2 linked regions of the Rhinolophus ferrumequinum genome follow. Each later gene encodes a partner of the first gene's protein in a complex. Links are inferred from orthologs where the notes say so. Each region holds a gene or a part of one and is shown on either strand. Other genes may lie near its edges.

Evidence for each region.
Region 2: the proteins of RAB11A (region 1) and MYO5B are in contact, whole or in part, in a crystal structure (PDB 4LX0), measured with the Homo sapiens proteins. The link is inferred for Rhinolophus ferrumequinum from reciprocal best matches to the Homo sapiens genes RAB11A and MYO5B. Residues at the interface, in NP_004654.1 of Homo sapiens: Leu11, Lys13, Arg33, Glu35, Ile44, Gly45, Val46, Glu47, Phe48, Ala49, Thr50, Gln63, Trp65, Glu71, Arg72, Tyr73, Arg74, Ala75, Ile76, Thr77, Ala79, Tyr80, Arg82, Gly83; in NP_001073936.1 of Homo sapiens: Ile1627, Gln1628, Gly1629, Leu1630, Trp1706, Met1710, Arg1713, Tyr1714, Ser1717, Gln1718, Glu1721, Arg1724, Gln1745, Leu1747, Gln1748, Leu1749, Lys1750, Lys1751, Glu1755, Ala1759, Leu1763, Tyr1779, Glu1786.

What each region holds. Positions count from the first base shown.
Region 1 is NC_046289.1:45,041,699-45,045,443, forward strand, and holds the start of RAB11A (ras-related protein Rab-11A), read right to left. Parts: upstream 2,316-3,745; 5' UTR 2,164-2,315; coding exon 2,124-2,163; intron 1-2,123. UniProt on the Homo sapiens protein: The small GTPases Rab are key regulators of intracellular membrane trafficking, from the formation of transport vesicles to their fusion with membranes.
Region 2 is NC_046302.1:41,029,819-41,033,563, forward strand, and holds the start of MYO5B (unconventional myosin-Vb), read right to left. Parts: upstream 2,602-3,745; 5' UTR 2,279-2,601; coding exon 2,252-2,278; intron 1-2,251. UniProt on the Homo sapiens protein: May be involved in vesicular trafficking via its association with the CART complex. The CART complex is necessary for efficient transferrin receptor recycling but not for EGFR degradation.

The DNA.
Region 1 (3,745 bases):
CATAGATGAGGGAACTGAGGCTCAAGAAAGTTAACTTTCTCAAGGTTACCAAGCAAATTTAAGACCTGAGTCAGGATTTGAATCCACGCCTGTGTGATTCCAAAGCCCTGTGCTCTCAATCATTGTTAGATAGTCTAAGCCCAAAATTAAGTTAAAATTCCTTAAGCCAATCCAGCATAACATTACTAGTGAAAAAATAAATGGCTTCTATAAGCAATATTTAAGCTCCCAACCAAACAGGAGAAATACTGATAGTCTCTTGTTCTAAATTAATTATTTCAAAGGCAGCTAGCGGCCCACTGCCACTGTACCTAAATAAAAAAAAAAAAAAAAAAAATTCTCCCTTTAATGGCTGAACCCCAGTCTCCAGGGTCTCACTTAAGTAACTTCACCAGACCTCAGATGACTTCAGCAAACAGTATGTAAACTAATGCACGTTTCTTTTTTGTATTTGTAAAATGCATTAAGTACCCTCTTCTCTGTAAATGACTTTCTCCCGGGGAAAGGGAGGATACTGAAGGTACTCACAACATATAATAGAATTTTCTGGCCCAGAGGAGTAAGTGGTGATAAGAATATGTCATCAGCTAGGTTGTCAAGATTTGCAAAGTATTGGTAAAGCAAAGAAATGTTACCGCCTTCGTTTAGTCATTCTGAGCACCCAATGGCAAAGTCAGAAACTGTCACCATGCTTAACACTCTTTTTAAACTCCACCCTCCACTGTAAAGCTTTAAAGCAATGGCTTCTTCCTCCCTGGTAATGATCTTTGTTCAGTACACCACTGATGGCTGCCCTCCTAATTCAGTAAGCAAAGAAAGAGCATCAGAGTGAGGGCGCATTCACCGAACAAAAAAGCTTTTAGTGTACTTTTTCTCAGGGAAAACTGTACCCCTTTATCTGTTGATTAAAAAAAACCAAAAACCACAAAAAACTATTTGGATTCTTTCCGGACTGCCCAATAAGCAATTCTTTCTATCCATTCCCCACCCTCTAACAGGTTTTACTCAAGGGCACTACGATTCTCTCTCATAAGAAACATTTGATTTCACCAAAGAGCACACAACCCCCGCCCCCAAACACACACACACCTTTTGAGAAAGGTATGGATCCAATTAGGACTCTTCCCTTCTGGTTCTACAAACACTAAAAGGCTGGACCCTCCCAGTATTGCTGCAGGAAGCAATCAGTCCAGAATGATAAAACGAGCTCGTATTTGTGCAGCGCACAGCCTTTCCTGCTCAGGAACTGGGCCTTCAGGTCTGGCAAGGATAACAGCCACCACCCATCCGCAACCCCTTCCCGCGAGCAGAGTCAGGAGTTACCCCGGGCCGGTGGCGCCGGGTAGGGAGGGTAGGAGAAAAAAAGGTTAGGAGGGAAATCACATCACTCTGCCGGGTCACTGCGACAAGTGCGTGCGTGGGTCACTGACAATCCCTCTGGCCCTACTCCCCACCCGTGGGGTCGCACGGGAGATGTGGGAGAGCTCTAAACTACTTGGGGAGGGAAGGCAGAGAAAGAGCTACCAATCCCCGGGACAGAACTGTGGGACGGGTGGGGGCCCCTGGCCCGCTCAGATTTTCACGAGGGCCTAGCCCCGGGGTGGAAGAAGATGGCCAGGAGAGCCGCGGGTCCGAGGGGACGGGGGGAGATAAGACCTGTAGTGGGAGTCTGCGCCGAAGGCAAGATGAGGAGCCAAGGAAGGGCTGGTCAGAGCGGTTCAGGAAGGGGAGTGAGTCCAGCAGGGTGGACACTGAGGGGGAGGGGGCGCCAAATCGGAATGATACATGGTGGGAGGGGTGACCCCTTTGAAGCGGCCCTAGAATCCCGGAAAGGAAGACGATGTGGGAGATGGGAGCCAGCCGAGAGAAGGACACACGGTGAGGGGCTATGAGGCCAGCGAAGGCCTTTGGGGAGGTCCCTCAAAGATCGGTGTGTGGCGGCGACTCCCTGTCTGAGGGGAGGAAAAGGGGCTGAGCCGCGAGACCGCGGAACAAACTGCACCGAGAGGGAAGGGCTAAGGAAGGCCGATTTCACACGGGGGTAGCCCCCGCGCGGGTCTCCCGGGAGTGTCTCGGGCCCCCGAACAAGACTCGGTGGAGAGGAGGGGAGCCCATGACCTCACCTTTGAAGAGGTAGTCGTACTCGTCGTCGCGGGTGCCCATTGCGCGGCCGAGGAGCGAAGGGGCGGGAGCAGCAGTGGTATCGGTGGGACTAGGGGGCGTCGCTGCAGGGGTAACCCGAGCGCGGATCTTCAGCTGCCTGACCGGGTGAAGAACCCCTCCCTGCTGCTACGCCACTTCCGGCGGGCCCCAGCCCCTTAGGGGAAGTGCTTCCGGGGGTGGGGGTGCCCTGCCCCTGAGCCTGCGAAGGGCGGTGTGCGCGGAAACGGCGTCCGTTTTCAAATTCTTACCTCCTCCCAAAGGTTCAGAGGACAATCTGAGGCTTTGCACTCCAAGCTGATCATAGTCCTAACAGCAGCTCACCACACTCTTGGTGGCCTCTCCCTCATTCCTCCGGCCGCCATCCCGGGGCTCTGAGGAGAGCGTCAACCCCGGCTCCAAATGGTCGGTTTGTGAATGGGGGCGGGGTTCACTAAGAATTAGAGAGCCCAAGGCGGCCCGCACACGTGTGGTGGTTCCATGGTGTAATGGTTAGCACTCTGGACTCTGAATCCAGCGATCCGAGTTCAAATCTCGGTGGAACCTATACCCTTCTCTTTTTTTCTCCCTGGCCAACGTTTTTCATTTTTCTGCTTAGTTGCTAAGTGATTGTTATACAACTATGGTATATATCGCCTTGAACTCAGCGGAGAGGGAATTTCACAAAATTTAACCTTTGCCTAGGAAGACCTCACAAATTTCCCCCTTCAATTCTGTACTTTCTGTTACCTGGGTGTCTCCTAAGGAGCCTCTTCACTTCTCCCCTTTTTTAACCTGGGTCCTCTGCCTCAAACCTAATTGAAAAGCTTCGATTAAACTTGATTCCTTTTGCTAGAATTTTCAACCTCCGATATCATGCAAGGGCAGGCGCTTTTCACTCACTCCTGTTCTCGGAAATCTCCAGATGCCATTCAGATAATTTCGCCCACCCGCCTCATCAAGATTCATCAAGAACTTCTTAAACCCCATTTGTCAACCTCTAAAGCAAACTCGTTTACATAATTATTTCATTTAACACGCAGAGCAAAGGATGGCAATTTTCATTTTAGCGGAAATGTGGATACTGAGACAAGTGATTTGCCCAAGATCATAGCAGCAGGGCCTCCCTGGATTTAAAGAGAGTTTTATTCCAAAAAGTTTTTCCTATTGCTTTGCCACACCCCCATCTCCTATATGCATACCTCAATTTACACTTGAGCAGGGGTGCCTGTTACAAGCAGAATGATGGCTCCCTAAAGATGTCCACTTCCCAATCCCTGGAAACTGTGACTATGTTCAGTTACATGGCAAATGGAAATTAATGTTGCAAATCAACTGATTTTAAAATAGGGAGATTATGCTGATTCTCCAGGTGGGCCTAATGTTGTCATAAGTGTCCTTAAAAGTGGAAAAGGGAGGCAGAGGAGGTCAGAGTGATGGCAGTGTGAAGGGACTTCTAAAAAAGAACATAAACAGAGTTCATGTTCAAAATGGTGTCCAAGCTGCAATCCCAGAGGAACTACCTTGCACACCTTACGCAAACCTTTGTGATGTTAAAACTGGGCAAAATAACCTTTGGACTGGACCTAAAGCAGCATTGTATTCC
Region 2 (3,745 bases), on another chromosome or scaffold:
AAAATAACAGCAACACAATCTTGAAGATACAGCATTGGTCATGGAAAATCTTCTCAAATTCAGATTTATAGACTTAAAAGTGTTTAAGAACTAGAAACCTATTAACACAGGGATATACAGTCCCCCTAGCCCTAGGAAGAAAGTCTAATACTATTTGGATTACGCCAACTCTCACACCAATAAACTTAAAAATATGTGTCTTGTATGTTCTCCCAAGACCTTTGCCTGGTGAAACAGTTTTGTCCATCTCCATAAGTCCAGAAAAAGTACACTAAAACTTTAGCTCAGACTACCCCTAATTCATTTGTAATAGTTAATACGCAATATACTCATTTCTAACATGCAATAAAATTTTTAAGATTGAGTGGTCTCCTCTGAAAGTGTTGTCTTTAAAAGCAATCCAATATTAATTCTTTTTCCAATAATCAGGGCTCCAAAAATTAAGGGTTTATTCAGTTATCCATTAGCTTCATATAACGTTGCAATCATCTAATAAAAGACTTCAGGATACATTGCAGGTATATTCACTTAAGTCACTCATTTCACTTGGGAGTACAAGTGGCATTTTCGTGAACTTTCCTGTAACAAAGCTCAGCCCTTTATACTTCAGATTTTTCCCTGACTCACAGGTTTCCAACCTTCAGTCAAAGTTCCTGATAACCCACGTCAGGGAAAGAACTGAAGCCTGGAGCTCTGAGAGCTCCTCCCACGGGTAAACGGGGTGGGGTGCTTTTCCAAAGCCAGAAGCACCCGAGATTCCCCACACACACCCCCACCTTTCCGGGAATCTACCCTCCGACCATTCGTGATCGCTGCTATCGCTGTCAGGGAAAGCCTGGTGGGGATGGTGCAGGTGTCCCCGGCTGCTGAGACCCGCCGCCAGCTGACTTACATCCTCTGCGGTGGCGGCCTCAGATCATCCCAGTTCAGCCCTGCCCCGCTCCCGGAGGTACGATGAAATTAGAAAACTTGCTAAAGGAAAAATAGCCAGCCCACCCAACAGAAGGACTGGCCCACGTGCGCGGCAGCGGCAAGCAATCGCCAGGTGAGAAGGCGGAAGTGGCCCTTCCTCCTCCACCCAGACCTGTTGGCCCGGTAGGTGTCCTGAGGATCGCACACCCACGAGTGTGCGTGCACCCCCCCCACACACACACACACCTCTGCATAGAGGCGAGCACAAGGCATTGTCCAAGGTGCCCCGGCCACAGCCAAGACAGGCAGGCAGGAAAGGCGTGGGAACATCCAAAACTGAAGAATGGGTTGGAGGTGGGCACGTGCTTTAAATGCCCCGACCCCTCTCACCCCCAGCGCCAGGTTGAAACTCGAGGGTACCTCGGCTGCGGCTGCGCACCAGTGGGCGTAGGGGGAAGCGGTGACTGGTCCCTAACTTTAACCATAGCAACTGCCGCGGAAGCGGGGCGTCTCCACTTTTCTGTCCCCGACTGAGGACGGAGCCCCATACATCCATTCTAACCTTGCAGGCACCCTGGAAATCCACACTCCACACCACCCGCACCCCCGCCAGGTTACTCCAACCCCCTCCCCACAGTAACTGAAGCCCTCCCGGTACCCATCCAGAGGGGTCACCTCCGAGTGCCCCTCCCTGTCAAACTATGAATGCGCTTCCCTGGGATCTCCAGCGATCCCATGGCTTACGTCCCTCCACACCTCCAGCCGCTGCACCCCTCACACCTCGTTGGGACCCCTTCTCTCTCCACCCCCAAGTGCAGGAACATCCCCTCCAAGTTCAGGGTTTCCCCTCATTGACCTCGGGAGAAAAGGAAGGCTTACAAGCCTTAGTGGGTCGACCTTGGGAGCTCACGCTGAAGAGCACCTGGGGTAGGGTCCGTGACTGAGATGGGCGCCACCGCAGGGGGCTGTCCCCACGCAGCGGGTTCCGAGCTGGCCCCCGCGGTCGGTTCGGGGAATTCAGCCCGAGCCGAGCCGGAGTCGGGGCGAGAAAAGCGATGACCGAGTGTCGGGGAGGAAACCAGAGCCCTAGCCAGGGACAGAGCCGCGGCCGGTCAGTGCCAGGCGCTCCCCGAACAGCCAAACTTTCTCCTCCACCCCGAAGTTAGGGGCGCCGAAGAGATGGTGAAGGGGAGCTTAAGAGGCATCTCAGGTGCCCCCCGGCTCCTGGAGCAGCAGGAGAAGGCGCCCGGGAGGGCCTCGGTGGCCTGGCGCGCACCGCCCCCGCCCCACGCAGCCCTCACCTGTGCCCGCCCGGCCGCGGCGCGCGGCCCGCACTCACCTGGCTGTAGAGCTCGCTGACCGACATGACCCCGCGGGCAGGGCCGAGCCCGGGGCGCCGTGCCTGCAGACTGCCCTCGCTCGTGCCCCGGCGGCGGCAGGTCCCGGCTCCTCGCTGCCCCGGTGGCTCTCAGTCCACGGCCAGCCCGCCTGGCGCCATCTTCCTGGGCTGGCCGAGAGTTTGTGTGTTTCTCGTCCCTTTCCCCCGACCTGTCCCGCCGGCTTCCTGGAGGCGCCGCGACCGGCTCGCTCCCTGCCGGCGCGACCTTTACTCCCGCGGCAGCGGCGTCGCTGCGGCCGGGCCGGAGTTGCGGGCGGGCGGGGGAGGAGGCCGCGCGGCGCCGCTCCCGGCTCAGGTATGGGAGGAGGTGCCGGCGCCGGGCGGCGGAGGGAGGGAGGATAGCGGGCGTCAGAGCGGGCGGCGGGTGTGTGCCGCCGCGCCTTTGCGCCCAACGGGGCCGGGCTGGACGCGCCCTCCCGCGTCCCCGCCGCCGCGGGGTCCTCCGGCCTGGGGGCGGGGCGGGCGAGGAGCGGGCGGCGGCCGCCCCCTGCTGGACGCCGCGCGCACGCGGGACAGGTGCGCGCCGGCTGCCGCACCTGCCGCGCCACGCTCCGGGTCCACGCGGGCTGTGCCTCGGGGGGTTGTGCCGGGGATGGAGGACGGACAAGTACGCAAGAGGAAAGTAACCAGAGAGGCGAAGAGGAATAAAAGGAGGGATGTCTACGGCGGAAAGGCTCCATACACTGTCCTCTGTGTTTTACGAGGCTGTAGCCAATACTTTCATTATTTAAATTCAGTTATGTCGTAGATTGTTATGAGGTGACGGGGCTATGCCAAAGATTGTCTCCGCCAAGATGGGCTCCCTGCGCTGAAATCTTAATCAGAAAGGTGGGAGTCGCAACTCTTCTCCACTTTGTTTGCCCGTCCCCGCCTCCCCCAGCTGCCAAGTAGGCACCCGCCACCATCTGGGAGGATTGTTGGCTTCTCTGGGAAGTGTCACGTTTTCTCCCCTCGCACACTCTCAGTCCCTCTGCTACTACCTACCTCATCTATTTTTGTCCCCTCTGCCAGTGGCATGTGGCTACCTGCAGCAGCTTCAGTCCCTCTTCTACTTCCAGCAAAAAGTAGACATTTCAGCCAAAAAAAGAAAATAATTGGCAGGAGTAGGTGGAGGGAGAGCAGAAGCTGTAGGAGGCGATGGGACCTTGGTTTTCTGAAGGTGACATTTGTACCTGAATGAGGAATGGCCTCTGAAGGTGGTTCCCAACCAAAGCGTCCATCTACACCAGCTGGAACAGTTGTCCTGGAGTCCTGCCCTGGAAGGGTTTTTAAACTCATCCTATTTAAGGGCTTCCCACCTGGCGTGCAAGATCCCCTTTTAATTCACGTGTCTGGCCCTTCTTACCTGTGCCTCCTCCATGAGAATTATCACCTGGGGAGCTTTAATAGCTCTAAGAAAGGCCCCCCTCAAGAATTCTGGTATATTGGCCAAGA